Styela clava: one gene and its partners. The protein of the gene in region 1 purifies or fractionates together with the protein of each later gene. This does not show direct contact. Links are inferred from orthologs where the notes say so. Each region holds a gene or a part of one and is shown in the gene's direction. Other genes may lie near its edges. The genes, in order: serine-threonine kinase receptor-associated protein-like, cold shock domain-containing protein E1-like and SUZ RNA-binding domain-containing-like.

Region 1 (8,702 bases):
TGTCTTATAGATTATACCCTGGCAATTATGTTTTAGATAAAAAAAAAAAACTGCATTTCCTATTCCCTATCACCCAACCAGAAATTTTCTATTTTCACCGTCTGAAGCAATTAAGGTCGAAATATGCACTAGCAATTATCCATTACCTTGGTAATTGCCTTACTTAAAAAGGTATAAAATATTTCATAAAAATTAAACAACAAAACACAATGTCAAACTGTCATAGCGTTGTGTTGATACTTCAAAGCATTGATTTTTAGAGTCGCAATCCAAACAGAAATTTCCGAGTCTGAATAAATTAAATCAACGCTTCTTCGACATGAGCCACGCCCTATTTTTGAATCGCATGTTTGGATATTCAGCAAACATCGTTCTTTTGTGCATTTGCATTTTATGTGAGGGCACACTGTTCTTGGAATTTTCGCTTGCGTATAATCGTACTTCTCAAAAACTGTATTGTTCGTATTATTTGTTTCATTTTCAAAGATAAATAGAATTAAAATCTAGGCCTATTCAATAGTGCCATAGCTAAATTCCAAGAATATTACCAACGTATAAAGATCATCGAATGGTTGCGATCATTCTTCTATAGGTTTTCGATTTCGAATTAAAACCATAACCATAACCATAAACTACAAATATTAACATTAATGGTTCGGATCTATGGAAAGCTTTTCGTTGTAATAGTTGGTTCCATTACATTTGCACCCACGTACATTTGCACCCGTATTTTGAACCCACGACAGTTGCACCTGCATACTATTGCACCTATGGACATTTATTTTACGGATATTTGAACCCATAATAACCCTAACCCATGGATGTTAGCACACGCATATAGATTGAACCCGCAGATATACCGATGCAAATGTATGGGTTCAAATGAACGTGGGTGCAAATGGACGGTCATCTAATAGTAGTATGTCACATTGCTAGTGTTAATGGAATATGTTTTTTTGGATGATAGTTGAATCAGTCCAATCTACGTCAGTCTAATCTCAGTCTGCGTTTCTTTCCTTCGAAGAACATTTCATACCTATTTCAATGTCTTCAAATATGTTGCTTTCCTGAACGATCATCAAATTGTAAAACTAGCGAATAGTCGCGAATAATTTTAATAGCGAGGATTACTGCATTACTAAATATGAGTTTCTTTTGAGTGCTGTTAACGAAATGACAACAATTTCACAACAATATAATGGAAGAATGAGAAAAACAACAGACTTAATAAATACATTACCTTTGTTAAAGTTTAAAAATTGTGGCTTGGTACCCCTGGTAGTTGTAAACAACTTCATCGCGTGTGTTGCGGACACACTGTCGGAGTAAATGTTGCCATACAGATGGAAGGGAGACTATCATACTAAGTTGTAATCTTACCCCGAATGAACAACAGGCGCCAGCACTGAATGGTATTTGAGAATGTTCTGTCATATTGCTGGTTGAGAGTATGGCGATTTCGCCCACGCGGAATTCCAACAATGTAAGATTAATGTATTTATAACAACGTTGGAAAGTACCTCAACAAGTAAAAAATAAAAAACAGGTAAAGATAATATAGCTCAAGTGAAGCAGAAACGAAATTACAATGCACCAAATTCGCGTGAGATATTAGTTTTGTGCTTTTTTAAATTAAAAAAAAAAAAAAAAATTGTTTTTAAACATGGGGGTATGATATAAAATTTAAACATCTAAAAACTGCATGATGTTAAGTTTTAGTGGAGTAGATATTTGCTATCAATTAGGTTAGAACAAGAGAAACGTTTATAATTCTGGCGCGCGTTGCCATAATTTGTCGTAATGTACTAATTCATCCAATACAATGAAACGTGTATTCAAATTAAAACTAGTTATAATATTATCAATTAGTTTTGCGGAAATTATTCATACCGTTCAAAATGTATTATTTATAAATTACCATATGTAACTACATGGGTATAGATACAAAATATGGGGTTCGGCTTTGTCGAGATATTGGAGGTTTGTGAGTTGAAACATTGATAATATTCATGTCATGATACAGAACTTCTGTTGTTTAGTGAAAATTTACACATAAGTTTTTGGATATAATAAATTTTATCGGAAAAAACCTACCCGCCTAATTAGACCACATTATACAACTGTACCATAGCGAGGCTAATTATATCATTCTGATCAAATTATTAAAAATTATCTGAATATGAATAAATTACCACGCTCTCCCGAAGAATTGCCCGTTCCTTGGTATTCCTTAAGATACTATACCATATTGATAAAGAAATTCAGGTCTAATAGTATAACAGTAAATTTATTAAATATTTTTATAGGCTAAACGCAAATTCTGTTCATTCTTTATATATATGATCTTATTGATTTTTTTGCCATTCTACGGAAAACTGAATCAAACACTTAGACTGCAAGACGACTTCTCAAATTATTTTTGTAAACTATAATTGAAGCTAGAATGATATGAAATTTGATGGCTGATGCTATACCTGAATGTGGATATTGCTCAGGTCATAAATATGATTTTTATATTTATAAATCGCAAATCCTCTATATGAAACAAAATAATATACGTGATAAATCATGAGAAACATATATCATTTTTGGGTGATGTGGTTATTTCACGCGGATGCTTAACAGACGAATATCCGTACCAGTTAATATAATTTTCTGATAGTAGATAATATTGGACCATTAATCGACCTAACTACCTTAACGATGAAAATTTTCTATGCATTTGATCTTTATTTTACTTCCCAGCTCAAGATCGACATTTTCTCTCGAACTCTTGAAAGTTAATGAGTCAGAATCCACATACTATGACTACAACATTTTCGCCCAAATTGTTCAAGTTCAAAACATTTTTGCAGCCGGAATTTATAAATATATCCTACAACACTAATGGAATATACAAATTTGGTTGTCGGTAAAGGATTTTCTGGATTCCGTTTGGGTATTATCTTTAGGGTTTTGCTCAATTTACTTCAATAGATAAAACCCATATTTTTGAATGAGCTAACCAGTTTCATCAACAAAATTTATAGATGCTTATATATATATAAGTTCAAAAACGTTGAAGAAATTTCAGACAGAGCCAAGTTAAAAGTAACCTGAAACAACGCATATTGAATTATCGTAGAACCATAGGTCTTTGTAAAGTTCCTAAATATATTGGGAGTTGAAACATTTTGCAACGCACCATTATAATTAGTATATATATATAATTTAATTATAAAATAGATGATAGAGTTGATTTTTGAGAAGTTTCAAATTTTGGTTTTCAGCCTCTCAGTACTAACATTCAATACTGAAATATACTAATACTAAACTTAATCAGCGTTTCCATAAAACGTGTCACTCCATACTCCTGAATATCATCTCTCACGTTTTTTTATATTCAGAAAACATCTTACTTTTGTACATTTGTAAAAAATTCTTCTTTGGGAATTTTCCCTAGCATAAAGATAATCGTATTTTTTGAGAACTGAATTGTTTGCAGTATTTGATTTATTTTCAAAAAAAAAAAATCGAATTAAAAACTATTGGAGTAACTTGATTTTCAATACGCAACAATATCATCTTGACTGAGTGCAAATAAATTAATGTGGTTGCGATTGTTTACCTTTTCGTTTTCAATCCCAAATTGAACTTGAGACATCTTGTAGTTTCCCACTGTATCAGTACTATATTGAATTGATAATTCAAATTTTTTCCTGAATGAGATTAGAATCATCGAATCTAAGAACATTCCATGGCAATTTCGTGAATTTACATAATAAAATATGTAGCATACTAAAATATGTGTTTTTTCTTGAACAATGGGACAACTGCAATGTAAGAATCGCGGCTGATCGAGAATATTTGCAAATGATTTCTAAATGGGGACGGTGAGGTTTATTACAAAAATTACTAAACAAAGATTTTATTTTGAACTTAATATGAGTTTTTTCTGTTTTCTGTTAAAAAAATCACATTCGATTATCACTTAGTGTAACTGACAAATAACAAAGCGCCCGTAAAAATTATATTGGTATCGCTAAGCTTAAAAGTCAAAGACAATTTGGTCGATATTTGTTGAATAAGTTTATAAATTGCCGGAGTCAATGTCACCACACATATAGATAGAAGAATATCATACCTACTAAGTTTTAATTGATAATTTAAAAATAGGATCTTACTTCAAAAAATTGGCATTGGTACTGCATAGTATTTGAGAATATTCCGCCATATTGTTGTAGGCTATCTAGGTATGACGATTCCGCCCACGCGGAATGTAGGATCAATGTAGGCTATTGATAAAAAAAAAACATTGGAAAGTACCTAGAAAACAAGTAAAAAACGTAGAATGCGACAAGAAAAGCGAAAACTAAATAACCTGATATATCTTGAACAGTTACGGAAGGTGGATCAGTATTGGGTTTTATGCTTTTTTAACTTCAAAAACAGCTAGTTTTTTGGGGTATTACTGAAATTATTTGATACTTGAAATAATCAGGTTAAAACAAGGGAAAAGGCCAATCGACTACTTCACATATTAGTTTCGCAAATCATAATTGAACATTATGAAACTTGGTATCTGAATGTCTTAAAACACCTGAATGTCTTAAAACGCAAAAATTGAGTTTTATCATTTATAAATACACATCCTTTATGTAATATAAATTTTGTAGCGAAGATTTATATTTTCTATTTTCTGGTGTTGTTGATTTGTCTTGTTGGTTATTTTCCGAACAGTTTATATTCAACCCAGTTATCTATGTGGTCTTACTAGTGAACTTACTACTGAATTATATTAACACCATTGGCCAACCTGTCAAGCGTTGGGAATAAGCTTGTCACCGCAGCTCTGATCGCTCTGCATGGGTTCGCAGGTTCGAATCCCGTAGGGGTTGATTATGTGAGAGGAGATTGCTGGACTACTCGCTGACGTATTGTGGTTCACGTGATGGCTGGTCGGTTCAGCTTCCTTCACCATCAAGTCCATGCATCTGGAACAAATAACTGGCTAACAAACTAATCTCATACCCGACATGGACTGGTAACCAGATAGAAGGCCGTGATTTGCTCTATGATTAAACTGTCTTATCGGCTTTCTACTCCACCGAGATAAATATGTAACTAAATCCTAACGATATGATATTAACTCGATGATTCGATCGCCGGATTTGTTGCTGCAGACTCGGTACCACTCAACGTGCTGTTTTTCGATTCTTCCATAGTTTACTGAGATTCTTGACTGTGTCCTTATTGCTGTATTGTGAGTCGACGCAGCTCTCGTCTTCTTCTTCCCACCAGCGTTCAGTACAGTGTGAGTGGTGCAGTGTTTGCAACGTGCCGTACCGTATCCTTCGACATTATTCAGTCAGTCTGTGCTGCGCACCAAACCGTGTGGTCGCTGATCGGGCGTAAAAGGTGGACCTGTAGGCCGTAGGGTAGGCTACGTTGTCGCTTTTATTGCTCACTGGCTGACTGGTGTTGTTGACACTGATATAGCCTAATTTGAATTAGTTGTGCACAGTAAATTAAACTGTACTGGTACCAAGATATTCTAACTGTTCCACCGTTCAGCGATAAAAAGGATGACAAAGCAGACACCTCTAACATGCAGTGGCCATACTCGCCCTGTCGTGGACTTGGCTTTCAGCGATATAACTGAAGATGGCTATTTCTTGATCAGCGCATGCAAGGGTGGGTTCATATTAGTTAATAAGCAGTTGGGTTAATTTGCAATGCTTAAAGCACTAACTGAGCAAGGGTTGAATAAAATGAAAAATTTATCTTTTATTCTATATTCTGGTAAGATTGTAATATTGTTACTGTATTATCCAGATGGAAAGCCGATGTTGCGACAAGGACATACAGGAGATTGGGTTGGTACATTCCAGGGACATCATGGTGCAATATGGGCTGCTACTTTGAATAAAGATGCAACAAAAGCAGCAACTGGAGCAGCTGATTTCACTGCGTATGATGCTAACGGATTATATTTTTTTATATATTTGAAATCTTTGACAAGAACATACTCCCATATAAAAATACAGAAGCATGTATTCCATATAGACTTATTTTTAAAAGGTGTTAAATATAGTCTTATAAAACGATGTAGATGAAAAAGATCATCATATGAATTCAGATATGTATGTGATATTTTAGAACACTTAAGCATCCACCACCAAAGTTTGTTCAAAGCACAATCTTGCAGTTTTATTCTAAGATGAGGCAAATGCAGCAATGCAGAGTTAAATTAGGTCTAGTTGACTTAAGTAGAACTTAAGCTAAACATAACTCAATAATCAATTTTGTGTAGGAACATCTGCAATGATACTTTTTACAACAAGATCACATTATACTGATGGGTCATAACTCAATGATTCTAATCCGTAGCGAACTAAATTCGGGCAATTGATGATCTATCAGAAATGATTCAAATTTAAATTTTGAATTCATTGACTGGCTGTTTGTTTCTGATTAATTAGACAAACATTGTTTTCTATTATCTGTTAATCATTTGTTTTTTTATACAGTAAACTCTGGAATGCTGTCACTGGTGATGTTGACGCATCATTTCCACATAAACATATTGTCAAAGCTGTATCATTTTCTCCAGATGGATCAAGGTTATTAACAGGAGGTCAAGAAAAAACACTTCGTTGCTTCAATATTGAGAAAACAGATGCAGGTTGTAAATATTGGTTGAATACCTTCATTTAAAATATCTAGTAATTCATTTAAAATAAATAGTGATATGCCCTCACGAAAGCATGACAGTTTTCAACAGTATGTCAGATGAAATTACTTACGTTCGAAAGTAAAATAATACTCAAAACCTCTAGAAATTAATATAAATTAGTAGTTTCTATATTTGTTATTCAGTGAATTTAAAACAGGTATGTGGTAGCCTACTATTTTGTTGTAGAAATACTAGTTTATATGATTTCTTAAATATTATTAATCAAGAAAAAGAATTGTACTTTCAGGTCCTTATAGGGATGAAAAATATCTGAGGAATATTTCATGTAGATTGATAGCATATTTTAATTTTTAAGTCTTATTTAATCCAAACTTTAAAAGTGAAAAAAAAACTACCCATTCAACATTTGAAAATGCTTGTTTTAAATTGTTAGATCCAGAGGAAATAGGGAAACATGAGGGAAGTATAAAGAAAACGTTATGGATTGATGAAAAGATTGTTTTAAGTGCGTCAGAGGATAAAACAATAAGGTTTGTTGTATTTTAGCACCATTAAATGGGTTATTTGATGCAATATAGGTAGAATTTAGTTTCTGTTGAGGGGGTCATTTTTTTGTATTTTACTTTTGAGCTATTGGAGTATCATCCAATGTAGGGGTGTGCAATATTTTTGTCGATGGGCCATATAACCAACTTCACACATCTAGATGGGCCTCACGAAAAAAAGAATTCATGCATGCAACGAAATAAAAAATTCTTCTAATGCAAATTTTTTTTTCAACATTTTAGTGGGGCACTTGAAATATGTTTGTGAACATCAGCTTTACTTTGGATTTGTTTATGTAAATTTTTATTTTACTTTGGGCATTCTCATAACTGCAACAAAGTAAAAAAAACTAATATTTTGCAGGAAGTGGGATACATCAACCAATAGTGAAGTTCAACAAGTTAAACTAGATTCAACAGTAACAGATATTGAACTGTCGCAAGATAAAACAACACTTCTTGTCACCAATAATAAAACCATATCTATATTCGATGTCGAAAGGTTTGTTTCCTTCTATACTCTTGTTATCTTTTGTTATATACTATTTTTATATATATGTTTTGGCCAAATTGGTGGCATCAATATTGTGTGGACGATTTCAGTACCAGATATAACCAATTTTAAAACGTTATAATGGGAATTTAATAAAGTTCTGTACAACAAAACTTGTCATTAAAGCTTGTCATGTTTGAATTAATCATTAGTTAATTAATATTGCAATATTTCTCTTATTTTTTTGTATTGAATCGAGTATTATTACATCCTTATTTGATTGTTAACATGTCTTGTTTTGTTTGTTGTATTGTCCTGTTGTTATTATTAAGATCACAGTTCAGTTGGTTGACTTCATAATATCATTAATAGTTTCAAAAGTTTCTTTCCCAGGCGCTATTCAATTAATGGTACTCCTGAAGTATGCGCACCAAGATGTCGCACAACCTGAACCCTAACCTGATACACAACCTGAGTTCAAGTTGTGCGCCATCTTGGTGCGAATACTTCAGGAGGTCCCAAATAATAGTGGTAAATTTAGTCCATATATTGCTGGGTCAAGTTTGACTCAGTATTATGAATATTTTTTATCCTACACCGAATTTTTGCCATGATTTCGATAATGTGATTGTTTCAACACATTTTACTTTTTCACCAATTTTATTCCAAAAAGTTGTTGAACATTAGTAATGATAGCACATAGCAGTTTAGGCCCTTTCAACAATTATGTAATCATCATAATCATTATAATGTACCATCTGGACAAGCAATTACTCACCTAACTAATTTACTATAATTCATCATATTCCATATGGATACATGATTTCCTGAAATTCATAGGTAAAATATTTAATTCAGTATTAATTATGGGGGGAACCTCATTGTTGGCAACGTTGAGTGCGTTTCAGTGCATTTTTCAGTTCACCTGTAAGAGTTGCACATAGATGTGAAGTTGCAATAAAGGCAATGATTTCTGTTGTTTGGCTTT
Region 2 (8,135 bases), on another chromosome or scaffold:
TAGCAAATTACGAGATTTTCAAATATATAAATATGAAAACCGATACCAGTTTACTTATAAATAACACGTTTTCCTCTTTCATGCGTTTTAGATTAATCGTTTAAAACTTGTAAGAGACATTTCTTGCTATCGACTAGGTAAAAAAAAAATTGACTATGTCTTATTTTATGGGAAGGGCTTATATTAAAACCATTCATAAAATTCAGGCTAGGTCTTATTTTCTGGGTAGGTCTTATTTTTGGGAAAACACGGTAACATGGGAGTAAGGGAAGTATTTGTGTTGTTGTTGTTCAAAATATTTTTTCCCTCATTGATTTCAACTATAATTTTTTCTAAATATTCGTGGGACAAGTACCACGTGATTCGTGCTTATTATTAATATTATTTACAAAGCGTTGTATGTCAAAATCTCTACACACCCAAAATTTGGAAATATCATTCCTCCAAAAATGAAAAACTGAGGAACATATAGGCCGCGAGCCGAGGCCCTGAAAAACGCCTAGAAAGTGAGTTTCGTAGCGCACATCAGGTAACTACCTGAAAATGATTTTAAAATGTTCCTTAAAAATTTAGTAACAAATATTGCCTTGTTCCCACTTCCAAAAGTTGCACGTTTTACGGAAAAGACGCTTTTACTACAAGAAATATGTGCTACGATCTGTCCTATATTCTCTACATTTTCGGCACTGAACAATGACTTCTGCATGACGTAACAATTGAATTAAACCAGCTGTTAGCGAGCGGATGAATATTAGTTATTTCTGCTCGACCTTGCGCTGAGTTGGGCAGGCTTTCCACAGCCCTGTTTAGTTATTATTAGTTAAGTTATGCTAAGACGTTGTTGAAAAATGTATAAGTAAATTATTAAACACTTGTAGATCCTTACCACGGATATGGGCCGTGAGACGAAACCATGAAAACGCCCAGAAAATGAGTTTCGTAGCGCACATCTGGTAACTAAATAAATTCTTCAGTTTTGTGGGAAAACGAACATAATGAACGCATTACAGCTTGTTCCACAATCCTGGTGCGAAATTGAATATAAGAGGTTCCCGGAAATTCAATAACCATAAGTTTACAACGCATACATAAGAACTATACAATTCGAGAGCCCTACAGCACACTAACACAAATGTATTCCTGTAATGTTTTGCCTGACCAAAATCGGACTTCCTCAGTCAATCATAATTTATTAGGTAGATTACGAAAAATATGGCATACATGTAACCAACAACAAAAAATACTTTAATTGTGTGACAGGAGTCGGGAGTGACCTCGAAAGCAGCGACACCAACAACGCTGATTCACATTTGAGAATGAATTTTATGTAATAACCCCAAGCATTTTACAACAAGAACAGCATAAAAAGCTACATCCATTTTATAGAAGCTATCAAGTATCAAACGTATTTATTTTTAAGCAATGAAGTCACAAATTAACATCGTGAGCACGAAAACACAAATAAATCAGTTATTTCTCACTTAGAAATTTACCGCAAAAATCAAGAAAATTAAATGAATGTACAATATGTACATAACATAGTGAACAGAAATATTACAATTTACAATTAATCTTTTTTTAGTTTATGTGGTTATGTATTTGAACAAAGGCAATAATATTTCTAGAAACAGGACTACGACACTAACAAATGTCCGAAAAAAAAAACAAATGTATGATACTTATTAAATCAACTGTAATATCTAATTCACTTTCTTCTGAATTGTTTTCGAAATCCACTAGCTCAAAAATCGACTTTTCCTCTATAGGTGTACTGTGATTTCTGCAGTCAATACAAAAACAAAAATCTGTGCAATTTAAGTTGATTTTGGCACACTTTCATAAATTATTTTGACTATTTTTCTTTGCAGTTTGCCAACTCAAGAACTGATTTGAGGGCAACATGCTTCTTCAGTGAATCATTGTTGGGTGGAGAGTATAATCCTTATGTTTGACAGTGTTAAATAGACGTGCCCTGGTACCGTATCATTTACATTCTTCATATCCTCTTCAAATTCCTCAGCTTTATTTATTAATACCTCGTTAACCTCAAAAGATCTTCATAGTCGAGGGAAAAAAATGAATTGAAAATCTCAATGAAGTCTCCAACATGAATTTGATGGGCAGTTCCAATTGCAGAAAAGTGCTAAAGTATTTCAATATGAATAGCCCATCTAAGCTGTTTGCAACTATTATGATTCTCATATACCTTTAAGCTTCAAGACTTCTTGTTTAATCCATTTTATAGCACTGATAGCAGCAGGGATCAGAGCCTGCGTTAGGTCGGATTGGTGGAACATTGCCGTTTTCTTTTGTAGTACAGTATCTAAAATAAGGAAGAAAATAATATTTGGAGCAGCATGATTTTAAAAATACCCCTAAATACTAACTAATACCTTGAATACATAATGCATTTTATCTGATGTACTAAATGAGCGTATATATGCTCATTGCATGTTCTACAGTCCAGCAGTGTTTGCATACCATTACTAGACTATATCTACACTAAATTTTGATACCGGTATATCACAGTCTGAAATGTCCTATGACAGTATGAGTATGGACTATAGACTATATTTTGAAACATCAACTGTTTGTCTACAACTTCATTTCTCACCTCTCAATCATTTCCAATGCTACCTTTCTTTCCACTCCGGCATAACTTATCATTGCTTCCCAGGTTCTTGTCGACTCTATGAATTTAGATTTAGACCAACCGACATTAGTAAAATTGATTAATTTCTTCTCTTTCACACAACCGTGCATTACAGAAACAGCCATTCATTTCTATTTCCAAATATGCTGTGGCCTATATAGTAGTATAAGTCTGCTGAATAGTCAAGAAGAGTCATTAAATTAATCATAAACATTTCATGCAAGCCAGAAAATATCGTTGTTTGTGACATATTACAGTATTATTCTAGGTCTAGCCTTCCTTGGAGTTACCGCACCGTACCTATTTAACAACGTCTTATGAGCTAGTGCTCAACTAAAATTGCTATTTATGGCAAGGATATACAAGTGTTTAATATCTTACCTATACTTTTCAACACCTCCTTAGAATAACTGGACTAATATTACCGGTAACTGAAAAAAACTATGGAAAGGCTACTCAACTACTTGTGTAATAAAATGTTCCACTCAATTTTTCTATCTTATGAAGTTAATATGCTAAGTTATTAGCTCTTTTTCATCAACCTTTGACCTACCAACGATATCTCAATACTTTCCTATTGAGATCCCTGGCTAATCTATGATAAATTAATCCATTTACTACCAATTAGTGTAAAAATCTGGATAAATGGCCTTGATTTATGAATTGTTCTATTTCTATGTACAAACACTAATATTTGATGTTTATTTTTAAAGTGTTCTGAATCATTTCACATAGTGTTATGAAATATTGAATCTTATTTATTCCTACATTAAGTCAACTGTTTTGTTTTTGCATTAACTTTCTTGATATTTTAATATCGATTGTTTGTTTATACAAAGTTTACAATGTATTGCATTTTTAAAATGCATTTTTTTGTTGTTTAAACCAAATTCTAATTTGTTTTGATGACTCAACCCATGCATCTGATTACATTGCACTAGTGTGTGTAGAATAGAACTCTACCCATATTCGCTTGTTCAAAATCCCACTTGTTATGTTTAACTTAAATTCAGTCAATAAAACAAGTTACCCAAATAAGGGGTAGCTTGTCTGACCTGCTTTCCCACTTTTTTTCGTTTTGATCATTTTATATTTTGCAATATAATTTCAATTTGTGCAAAATCCTATTATTTAAAAGAATGCTTCCATAATTAAGAATAGTAAATTCATGTAAATATTGTACATAGTATAAATCGTGAGAGACATTGAAATATTGACACGAACCTGTTTTTTTTATGCTTATTTAATATAATTGGGTGGCAACTGACTCTGATGACCCCCAAAGGTCGTATCGTTGCCCCCCAGTCATATACCGAAAACTATTTTTTTTTATATTTGTTTATGTGTGCATAAATTGTTTTCTTGGTTTGACAAAATGAAATAAACTCTCTCTCTCTCAACGCAAAAGCGAGCAGTTGAGTACATCTGATATTCATCCGACCACTGGGGATCCACCTACAGCTGACTAACTTGACTGTTACGTCGTGCAGAAGTCTGCGTTCATTGGCCCATGATACCGGAAAAGCAGAGAAAATAGGACAGATGGTAACACATATTTATTGCAGTAAAAGCGTCTTTTCTGTAAAACGTGCAACTTTTGGAAGTGGGAACAAGGCAATATTTGTTACTAAATTTCTAAGGAACATTTTAAAATCATTTTCAGGTAGTTACCTGATGTGCGCTACGAAACTGAAAGATAAATGGCCTCGGCTCGCGGCCTAATACTGAAGTCGAAGAATCAACATAGATATTACCGAAAGTCTTTTTGGTTGTTTTTGTGATTCTAAGATGATTGAAAATATAGGCCGGCCTATTTGTAGTGTTTTTTTTCAGCCATTAACCTCCGTACTTTTCAACACTATTATGTAATAAAGAAAACAATAACTCATCAGTTGTGTCGTCATTAGGCGTAAAGTCAATTGTTACATCATAGGAGTAAAGTTTTGAATGACCTGATATTACCGTAGTCTAAATTTTTGGGTTGTCAATGTCGAATGCATTTTACGATTTTGTAAACAATATTTATAAGATGAAGAAATTCCTTTCAAGTTACCTCTCGCCATAAATATTGCAACGCAGAGTCGCCATCCAGCGTTGCAATCGTCCGACATTTTCTCCTTACGTTACGTACCTGCTGGGAAGAAAGAGAGATCGGCCTGGGCAGCGTCGGGATTGGCGTGGGGAAATTGGGTCTCGGGATAATTTAATTGACGTCTAAATAAAGGTGAGCACTAATTTACGTGTAGGTTTACGATATAGAAGTTTTAACGTTAGTCCACAATAGTAATGGTTTGTTAAACTTTGTCCCTCTTGTATTAAACCTGAAACAAAGTGCTGTGGTCAAGTGGGGATTACAAGATTAGGATTAACACGTGAAAAAATTGTTACCGTATGCTACGCCTACTACATGTACTAGAAGTACATCAGGTACCGTACGAAACTACATGAGACCCCTGTAGTCTGAGTGTCCATTTGCTGAGTTGTGTGTCTGACTCAACTGTATGAATTGTTAATGTTCTTGAAACATGTAAGATTCTGTAACATGGAATCTAAGTTCTGAAGGTACGGTACCGCTGTACCGGTACCGTACAGAGCTAAAATGTCAGAATGTTGGAGTTTGAAAGGGACTACAGGTTATGTCTGCATGTAGTTTCGTACCTACAGACCTAACACAGTAACATACTTCTAGTGGGCGTAGCATAACATTTTTTTCACATGTCAATCCTAACCCCCACCTTATTACGCCATCCAAAAATTACGTCACTACGACGTCACAGTGCAGCAGTGAGGTAATGGAGCCTTTCATACTATTGAACTATACCGGTACGAACTGCCATCCAAGATGCGCAGACGACCACCCGAAATCGAACTGCTGTTTCTCTCGTTTTCTCGACGCTATGATCCCAATAGGAGAGAGATCGATGAAGTTATTCAGTTCTTTATCGTCATCGCTGATGCCATTTCGGACGATCGGACGTATATTTGGCAAGTACTATGATGGGATTGTGATGTCGTAATGACATAATTTTTGGATGGCGTAGTCGAATGGGGGTTAGGATTGACATATCAAAAAATTGTTATGCTACGCCTATTAAAAGTACGTTAGGTACGAAACTACACGAGACCCATGGACCACTTCCAGACTTCACTGCCACTGCTGACCCTACCACTTGGCATAGTCTGGTATTGCTGTAGTGAGAATCATTGAAATTTTGAAATGTGGCCCATACAGGCCATAAATTGTTTGTGTTTTGTTTAAATTGAACTAGTTCAATCTTTTCACCACAATCTGACAATTCTCTGCAGATTTTTTTCAACTAATACAACATATGGAAATTTACAAGAACTAACAAGCAAGTTGCAGCAGAAGAATTTACCAGCAAACTAACATTACATTCAACATTTTTACATTTTGATTGTGTTGGCAATTTTTTAAGGTATGTCAAGTATGCTAAAAGCAGTCTATACATGTTATCCACATCCTGTGTCAATTTTTATTCATTCTACTCATAGCTTGCCCATCCTGAAAATTATCTTGCTCATTTGACTTAGATTCAATACCATGTTGAAGGATCATACACAGACAACTGCTGAAATTTTTATTATCTCAGGTGGTCTGGTTCCACTGTTGGCCTCAGCTTCTTCCTCAAATTTCTAGATATAAACCAGTGAAATTATCGAAGGATACTACAAATCATTGCTTCACTAACTTAATATTAGACATCCACTTAAATATTTTGTTGGTAAATCACAAAGTTTTGACATTCAGCAGCAATCTAGCATGGCACACCTATTTATAAAAATTGCCTATGAGCTAAAAAAGACAATATGAATAGGGTTCTGCTTGACTAACCAGAATTCCTGACCATGCAATGTTTTCTTTACAGTTTCATCCTCAATTTTGAAATCTGAGCATCTGTCTGCGAACGCTCCTATTTCTTTGTGTAGTGTCAATACATTCTGTTTTCGCTCTTGAAAAATATGTTGTGTCAGTGTTATCTTTTATTGGTGTACTGCACATAAGTGTACTAAACAATACGGATTGATTAGTAATCTAGTTTTGTTTACCATATAACATTGCCTTATACAACCCAGCATATAAAAGGCTTTGTTAGCATTACCATTATAACATACCAGTTTGTATACGCTGTCATAATGTTTCTTTCTTCAAACTCATTGGATTCACTAATGGATGAAAGATCATCTTTTGTGGTGAACTAACTGTTGGTACTTTTTGTAACGAGATATTTATAACATCCATATTATGTACCATAAGTACGTATGTGGATTAGATTGTCATGATCTAATAGCATGTATGGATGGATAGTTCTTGAAACAATGATAAAATTTTATGCGATAGGAGTTCATAGAGCCGAATATGCTATAAAATCTTTTAGTCATGTCATGTTCAAATTAGAAATATAGACATTATACAGTGATGATCTAGATTATCAATCAACTATTTAATATTTTTCAAGGGCGCAGCCAGGACCTTTCCGACGGAGGGATTATGGTGAAACTAAAACATTTCACCAAAAGTACAATTCACGACGACGTAATGCGTTTAATAAACTAAAATATATGGTCATTCACGGATCACGGCGAAATTCCACACCACAGTTACGTATAGCCCCCCTCTCTTTGCCTGGCGGTGTTTGGTGAATATTTTGCAGTCCTGTTTCAAACATTGGCCATTAATCCGTAGTCAGTGGGTACCCACATTTAGAAATAAAACATTTGAAATTGCGAAAATTAATTTTAGAGAGAGCTATAACTTGCAGATGTCAGTAGTATCATAATGGTTTATATGTACAAAAAAACTCTCGTATGTAGCGCTGATCAAATGCACGAAATGTGAAACTGTTACATGGAATTTATAGTTACCGGTAATTGAGTTGATTTTCTGTTGCCATTCAATGATTATTTAATTGCGCCGTGATTAGTGGCGGGTGATCTTATTTTTTGAATTGAGTTATTCGATTGTTTTTAACGAACATCGAATAATGAGTATTGTCATTTTGAACAACATTAAATGAAATGTCGGCCGCCGAAACGATCGTCGTGAAAATAAATATATTGTTTTTTTTGGGATTTTACCAGAAGACTGAAAACTCCGTGACAATGAGGCATGTTTATCTCATAATTTTGTCATAATCGTCGGCAAAATTAGTTTCATGTCTGTTTCATGGAGCGAAAGGAAAATACGCCTTCCGGAATTGCAATCAACAATTACAAATTCTTCTTTATCATTATCAGCGCCGAATAAAAAGATAACTTATCGTGAAGACAAAAAAAGTACGGCGGTGTTAATTGCGTTACAGTGATAACGCACAGAATAGTATTGTCTTGACCGCGAAACCCTGATGCAGGATCGTAAAGCGACGCTTTTGTTTTTTTGTAGATGAAATTTCATATCAAAAATTTTTCTCAAACGGGGGGTTACGACTCATCTGAACCCATGTTGTGTTTAAATATAAATACA
Region 3 (7,953 bases), on another chromosome or scaffold:
AATGTCCAACTCGTGCAACTAATTTTATATCCAAATGAACTGATTACCAGATCCAGAAGCAAGTTTTATTAAGATAAATTGACATAAAATTCGCACAATTTTTTTATTGCTAAAATTTAAATTTTATGAAATATTCAGTGATAATTAGATAAAATATGAACGATTATTTTTAGGAGTGCTTGGCAAGTCATGAAGAAGATATGAAAGAATCATTTAAAGTTGCACAGAGTTGTGAAGTGACTTGTGGCATCTGTATGGAAGTGGTGCGTATGGTTTACTCCACTGATCTTCCAATTTTTTTCTTTACATCATCCATAAATCTGGCATAAAATATATTTATGAAAAATTTCACTTTCCTGATTTCATCAATATTTTTTTCATCTTTTCGTTTTCAGGTTTGGGAAAAGAAAGAAAAAAGGGAAAGGAAGTTTGGAATTTTAGAAAATTGTTCTCATGCATTCTGTCTTGATTGTATCAGAAAATGGAGAAGCGCTAAGTCATTTAATAATACAGTTGTCAAGTAAGGAATTCACTACTATCTCACTCATGTCCTTAATTATATTTGAAAATTCAAACCTTATATTTTGTTCGTTTTTCAGAGCTTGTCCAGAGTGTCGAGTATCTTCATCTTTCGTAACGCCAAGTGATGACTGGGTCTCGGATAAAGAAGAGAAAAAGAAATTAATCGAAGGGTATAAAGATCACTTATCGTAAGTTATTTTCAGTAGATTCCCATCACTGTTAAATCATTGTCTGTCAAGGTAATTTCTGGTAAACTATCTGGAATGTGCCCATTGCTCAGATGTGTGTTTTTGTAGAAGGAGATATTAATTATGCTTTGTTCCAACTTTTGGTGGGCTCTTTGTGTAACAGCTATTGCATTAGTATTGTAGCAAAAAATCTTTGTTCTAAGATCTGGTTCGCTGCTAGAATATCCAAAACCAGAACAGTAGCATCTTAGTGGCTGCTTATTGAACTTTAATTGGAGCAAGTGTATGAGCGCATCATTAAAAAATTTAAAGACTTTTGTGCCTTTTTATATCAATTGGAATTAAGACATTATAGACCGATAGGTAAAGTAATTAATATTCGAAACCATTAACTCTGTTATGGTAAAATTTTCACCACAAACTTAAAATTACAGAAAGAAGTCATGCAAACATTTCGATCAAGGCCGAGGAAAATGTCCGTTCGGAGCTAATTGCTTCTACCTCCATGCGTATCCAGATGGTACAAAACAAGATCGATCAAAAATTCCAAAGAGAGCTAGAAATGCAGAAGGAAGATTGCAGGTTTAACAATTATTTCCATAGTTTTGCATCTCATACTATGTCCCGGTTAAGCTATTCAATCATTGAATCCATTTTTTGATGGCCAAACCTTTTTATAGAAGATTTATACAAGGTTCAATTCTTGGGCCTATAGTGTTTTTATTCTCTAGTTACTTACCAGATAATTTAATCTGCAGTTTAGTCATACATGCTGATAACGCAAATTTATATTTATTACTTGAATAATGTATTCATTTTGGTAAATACCTGCAAATTGATTTGTCGTTTCTCGTCAGTGTTAGCTTGAATTTTTAGGTCAACCTGTATTTGCTATCATTTCTGTCACAAAGTTAGATTATGGTTGCTGGTTGTTATTTGGCTATTAATCCTTTTTTCTTTTTATTTGCTTTGAGTATACTTGTATAAAAAAAATAATATCGAATAATTGTTGAAAATATAATTAATGAATTGAAATATTAGAGTACTTTGACGAATGAACTGTTTTTATAGACCTTCGATTCATCAACAATATGGGAATTCATTGAAGAGCGGCACGATCATCCATTCTTTGATCTTGAAGATGATAGTATGGAGTTATTTGACCTGGTGTACCTTCTCGGTGCAAATACGAGCTTAGGCGATGATTCAGACTCGTATGATCACTGGGACTGGTTTTTGGGAATTGGTGATAGTGATGAAGATAGCGACTTTTACTAATTCTTGATCACATCATTCAAGCTTGAGCTATGTATAGAATATACATTGGAAGTATGGCCTCTCGTAATTCACGCTTGAATACAATGACCAAATTTTACTATATGATTCACATGCAAGTGTAACCATTTCGCTTGTGTATTCCCATATGTGTATACTGGTATTAAAATTATGACAACATTTAATCAAACTAGGGCTCCAAACTTTAAAATTCTAGGCATTTCTAAATTGTTTCTTATTTTTTAATTGACATCTCATTAATTTTGATGTGGAATCGTGTGTGTGTGTGTGTGTGTGTTTTTATTTATAACTTGGCGGATCCATTTAAGATAATTGTAATCTCACTTTTATGTGTTTGCTTTGTTTGACTACACTTATGATATTATTTGTTTTTGCCTGGTGATAACTTGCTTTATAGAATTTTAAAGTTTGTGGCCCCACTTATTTGTATCAACAACTTTTTTGCCTTGCCAACGACTTTACTTTATCAATGACTCAGTAAGAATCCTGCATCTTCAATTTTCAACTGGCACTGCACTGTTTGTTTCTTATTAGGAAATTGCACCAATCAGCTCTTGTTTATCAATCTCTGTTCATTGACTACTTATATTTTCCCGAGAACGCCGCCATTTATAGGCTTAATTCATGTGTACTTTTCTTTTCAATGTCGCCTTTCCATTTTATCGCCTTGAAAATATTAAATAAACGCTGGTGATTTTAAATTTAGTTCACTGCTGTAGGCTGTGCAATCTAGATGAATAATATATTCAAGGTTTTAGGCACAAAGATACAGTTAACAGTATCCTACACTGTTGATACAGTATTAGGAAGCAGTTTTTTTCTCAAGAACTATCCAACAAAGCGCTATAGCGGCCGACATGGTGTGCAACAAGACTGGTGAAGAAGTTAGGAACCTTCGTACAAAAGTTGTCACATTTACGTGATATTCGTCCTTGCACAGCGAACGCTAAATAAAAAAAATAAATACAGTAGTTTGGATGGGGTACCGGTACCGTAGCATATTTGGCTGTTAGGAATTCCGAGTCGTTCCCCGTAGGCTGAAGATGTAGAGTGTATTTTACGCATATTTTCATCGCATTGCTTCCTGCATTTAAATGTGACGTGAGAAAATTACCATTGTAACGTAGCAGTCATCGACTACTGTTACGTTTAGCAAGGGTACGTTACATCTTGCACGACTACCGGTATTTATTGAGATAATTTATTGCTTTTGTCAAACCAAAAAACAAGGACAAACATGTGAACAAAACAGGGGTTCAAAACAAAAGGTCATCAGTCCGCTACCACCCAATACAAAATACATGAATAAATAGTTACAACAACAAGCTCAATATTTGGCAAAAAGTGTACATTGTTTAAACATCGCCATATTGATTTGAAAAGTGAACTGAAGCATATATATTTGATACTTTTTTGGAATGAGAATAAGGATGGGCGAGCAGGAAAAAAAAGTTTTTTCGAAATGAAAAATGCACCGGATTCGGCTATCTCGATGACCAATTCGTTCGAAATGCTTTGTACTTAATACACCCTTGCATGAAGAATCAATGAGCAATTATTGGTTTAAAAGTGCCATAGAGGTAAAAATATTCAATGTATCGGTTAATCCTACTCGTGGTCGAAAAACAACTGAGATCAGGACAAATATACAAACACAGAATACAAAAACATGAATACATAAAAAAAAAATTGGAAGCATAATGAACAAGCAATGCAAATAAGAATGAAGTTTTATTAATAAGGAGTTACTTAAATGCGTGTTTGACTTAATGTAACGATTGGGACGTAGCATTTTATACCACAACAAAATAAAAAATAAGCCAGATAAGCATATACAGTCTTGGTAAATTTTGAGTCAAATAAACGTAATCGTAGGTGTCGCTGCTCGAAGACCTTTCGTGGTCCCTCGCGACTCCTGTCACACATATGAAGTTCTTTTTTTTACTTATTATATATCTTGCCATATTTCCGTGATATATTTATATTGATTGTGTTGACGAATAAATGATGATTGATTGATTGATTGACTGGGGAACGGGTGAGAATCCGTAGTTCCTCTGCCAAGACAACTGCAAATACAATATTCTTATCCCATGATGACTAAAACAACCGTTGATTAGTATTTCTTCCGCTATCCATTTCTATGAGATTCAGGATATGATATGAGGATCTGCTTTTCTATAAAAAATACATTAGCTTCACCACACTTTCATATGATGTTTTGCAAAAGAAACAATCTCTCACTTTCTCTTCATAACCTGACTATTTTTCGGTCGTACTTCAGTTCTGCAGTTTAGTCTCTATGGCTTGTGGGGAGATTTGCTTTGTGGAAAACATTCTCATTTGATACCGAGCTTTGTGTGATTCGTTACATCTTTTGACTGTTTGACGCGACGTTTCGTTGTATTATTCTCTTTATTATGGCAGAAGAAGACATATGGGATAGCTGGGAAGATTTTGCGGATAGTAATGTGAGTAAATTCACCAATTAAATTGTTTTCAACGGTTTATTGTACCCGTAACATTGTAACCTGTATGCTTGTATGTATGTATGTTTATTCGTCTCGTAAAAGCAATATAAAAGAGTAAGTAATTATAAATACTGAAGACGGGATGTATGTACAAGACCAGAGGCGTAGCCAGCATATTTTGCGCCCGGGGCAAAATATAACATTGGCGCCCCGGCCCCCACGTTTAATCATGTTTTCTATTGGATTTAATTGTATATGTAAAAAAAATTATATTTCGTCACGCTAATAACCGAATTGCGTAAGTCATTTTTAGCTGTTTTGAGAAAAACGTAAAAAAACTTCCTAATGATATTGCTATGCCATTGAGAGTCTTTAATTTGCCATAGTTCAACTTTTTGATCGTAGCCGGATTTAAGTTAATTTGTATGACGCAGTCATGTGACGCCATAATGGCACACTGTGATTTAGGCAAAAATGTGTCTATGGCTAGAGGACATACGCAATTTTGCAACTTGTCTATATGTACCAGTCCTGAAAACCAAACAATCCAAAATCCCCAAAATAGCTAATCTGTTTCAATTACATTATTTTTTATGTTTAAAAATATATATTTCATCAATATAACACGCTCTGCACATCACCGAAATAAGACTAAAGTTAAATATAAAGAATAAAACAGTAATGTACTCTTATATAAAAGTCAACCAAGGTGAATTGGACTCAGACAGTAAATATCACAAGTGCACGCCTTCCTATACAGTAGTATAAATTGAAAATTATCAGCGCTAAGCTAGAATCTGAGATGCAAAAACTGCGTTAACAATGATAATTCATTATGACGGAACAATTGAACAAATTTGCATATCATACAAAATTTCTATTTTTATGGGTTTCGGAATTCTTAAAATAAAATCTGAGTTAACAGACAGGTGCGCAGCATTACATAAATACTTATTTTATGAAAAATTCAAAACCGCCCAAAATGACTTACGCAATTCGGTTATTAGCGTGACGATATGTGAATTTAAATTTATATGTATTTATATATTTTATTATTTATTCAAAAATATATGTATATGTAAATTCAAATTTTCATGAAACATTTTATTCAAAGAAGAAGCAAAGCTATACAAAATAGAGCATATGTCCCACTCAGTTACTGTCAAAGATGATCTACATAGACTAAAATAAATTCATTTTTTCAATTTCACTGTCGTAAACTGGTTAACACGTCATCAAAATCTGTTTTTTTCCAATGTTTCTCTTTCAACACTTAGAAGTGCAAGATCACGGACACGATCCTGTCCCGTTGATGCACGTGAATACGACAAAATAAGTTTCAATCTGCTGAAAGACCGTTCACAGCTTGCAATTGAAACTGATATTGTTAACAAAATTTGTGTAGAGAAATTCGCAGATTGAATGAAACGTCGTCTCCAAAAGACACAATAAAACCAAGAAGAGCCAAAGGAATTTCTGGTTGATCTACAGTTCTGTTACTGAGCAGCATTCTGCAATCTCCAATTTCGGTGAAAAGTTCGTGGCCATTGATGTCCGTGGGGTAGAGATTTGCAAAATCTGTGCAATCTCGACGAATTGTCGAAAACGGCATTGAGGTCTTTTAGCACAGTATAATATATTTTATGTAACTCTGCCGCAAAGTACGGTACTTTGACAACAAAATACAATCCACGTATTACTCAAAACATGTATTAACATCATTCAACCAAATTCCGTTTCCATTTGTCTCCAGCACAGAACTAATATCAACTTACATCCGAGTGCGCAGGCAAGAACTTAACGATACAGAACCACGTAATTAACCCGGTGCATTTTAATACCTAACGTTACCAAATCAAATTTTGCTTTGTTTTCCGGCCAAATTTTTTTGGGCCATGTAATTACGATGGAAATCTGACCGTGCTATGTGCGTGATGACGTCGGCAGTCGTAAGTGGTCTGACCAAGTGTGCAGTTTGCCATGTACTAAGATTAGATGTCTGCCGCCGGTGCGATCTTGCTTGTGACCGTTTTTTACCTTTGTTGTGAAATTTTTGCCAGCCCCATTTTGGCGCCCCTGTACCTTGGCGCCCGGGGGCATATGTACCCCACTGCCCCCCCTAAGCTACGCCTCTGCACAAGACCATATTGGCCTAAAACACAGATGTGCGGCATACACCCCTTTTGATATAGGTATATAAATTATAATAGGGTAAATCAAATATGTACAATATGGTCCTTTATACAGGCAGTTGTGCAAGGAGGGTTGGTATTTCGAACAAAACAAAAAAAGACGATTGAAACCTTTTTTTATTCAATGTAATATTTCAATTCATATAAATTTCTGTGTCAAATGATACTGGTACGGTACCTCACTCTGTCACTAGTTTTTCAATATATAGACATACCTAAGTTTCTGAGGTTTTCTATTTCATTGGCGCGGCGGTGTGGCTCAACGGGCTAAGCGTTAGGAATACGCTCGCCACCGCACCTCTAATTACTCTGCGTGGGTTCGCAGGTTCGAATCCCATGCAGGGATGGTTATGTGCGAGAGGATTGCTGGACTCCTCGCTGTCGTTGGGTGGTTCACGTAACCGCTGGTCGGTTACGGCTTCCTCCACCGCCAAGTCCATGCTTCCGAAAACAAACAATATAACTAATCACATACCCGACTTGGAATGGTAACCGGACGAGAGGCCGTGGTTCGCCATATGGATAAGCCGTCTTATCGGCTTTCATTTCCCCCAGGATAAATATGTGAATCCTATCCTATCCAATGGCAGACCAAAGCTATGAAATATCCAGAATTTCGTCTTTTGCAATTTTATCTGATATATCCTGTTGTGGATTTTTAATTAAGTTAGTCTGAAAGAAGCCCTAAACTTAGATTTTATTCATCCAGTTCAGCATTTGTAACTGTTTTTTCCAGGATCTAGACAAGCATGTTGATCAACATTTGCAACTTACGAATGGAAATTCTCACAAAGAAGAAAATGGAAGCAAATTTTCTGACGATGACCAAGACTTTAGCGATGATTTTATTTGTACTGGTAAATTAATATCTCTGTAGGTTTAAAAGTCACTTAAAATCTACATATAAATTATAATACTAGCCTATAGCACTTTCCCCCACCTTTAAATAGAACAAACTTTCGCTGCATATGGCTGTATGGCTAACGCATAGTGTTAGGCGTCACATTGTTAGGAACACGCTTGCCATCGCACCTCTGACTACCCTGGGTGGGTTTGTTGTTTTGTTGATGTCGGGTGCTTTTCATAAGAGGTATAGCAAATCACCCTCTAATCCCCTTTTTTACTTACTATGTGCATGCGTAGCTAAACCTGTTTACAGATGATTCTCCCCAGGCATTTCGTCATTCGAACTTTTCCGATGACTAGGTGTTATGGCGATTTGAGATAGATTTTGATATATATATCACTATATAAACACACATTTTAGATGTATTTACGGATATT

Evidence for each region.
Region 2: the proteins of serine-threonine kinase receptor-associated protein-like (region 1) and cold shock domain-containing protein E1-like purify together in Homo sapiens (affinity purification with mass spectrometry; 3 studies listed by BioGRID and IntAct, counting the BioPlex papers as one, with this or other methods). This does not show direct contact. The link is inferred for Styela clava from reciprocal best matches to the Homo sapiens genes STRAP and CSDE1.
Region 3: the proteins of serine-threonine kinase receptor-associated protein-like (region 1) and SUZ RNA-binding domain-containing-like purify together in Homo sapiens (co-immunoprecipitation; 3 studies listed by BioGRID and IntAct, counting the BioPlex papers as one, with this or other methods). This does not show direct contact. The link is inferred for Styela clava from reciprocal best matches to the Homo sapiens genes STRAP and SZRD1.

The regions. Positions count from the first base shown.
Region 1 is NC_135251.1:26,654,605-26,663,306, forward strand, and holds the start of serine-threonine kinase receptor-associated protein-like, read left to right. Parts: upstream 1-5,228; 5' UTR 5,229-5,564; coding exon 5,565-5,673; intron 5,674-5,814; coding exon 5,815-5,950; intron 5,951-6,509; coding exon 6,510-6,664; intron 6,665-7,109; coding exon 7,110-7,206; intron 7,207-7,585; coding exon 7,586-7,723; intron 7,724-8,702. UniProt on the Homo sapiens protein: The SMN complex catalyzes the assembly of small nuclear ribonucleoproteins (snRNPs), the building blocks of the spliceosome, and thereby plays an important role in the splicing of cellular pre-mRNAs.
Region 2 is NC_135255.1:1,854,407-1,862,541, forward strand, and holds the start of cold shock domain-containing protein E1-like, read left to right. Parts: upstream 1-4,623; 5' UTR 4,624-4,877; intron 4,878-5,959; 5' UTR 5,960-6,090; intron 6,091-8,135. UniProt on the Homo sapiens protein: RNA-binding protein involved in translationally coupled mRNA turnover.
Region 3 is NC_135264.1:10,329,011-10,336,963, forward strand, and holds the start of SUZ RNA-binding domain-containing-like, read left to right. Parts: upstream 1-4,274; 5' UTR 4,275-4,426; coding exon 4,427-4,477; intron 4,478-7,405; coding exon 7,406-7,526; intron 7,527-7,953. Other genes in the region: putative E3 ubiquitin-protein ligase makorin-1, read left to right, coding at 174-263, 396-520, 600-710, 1,145-1,292, 1,782-1,988.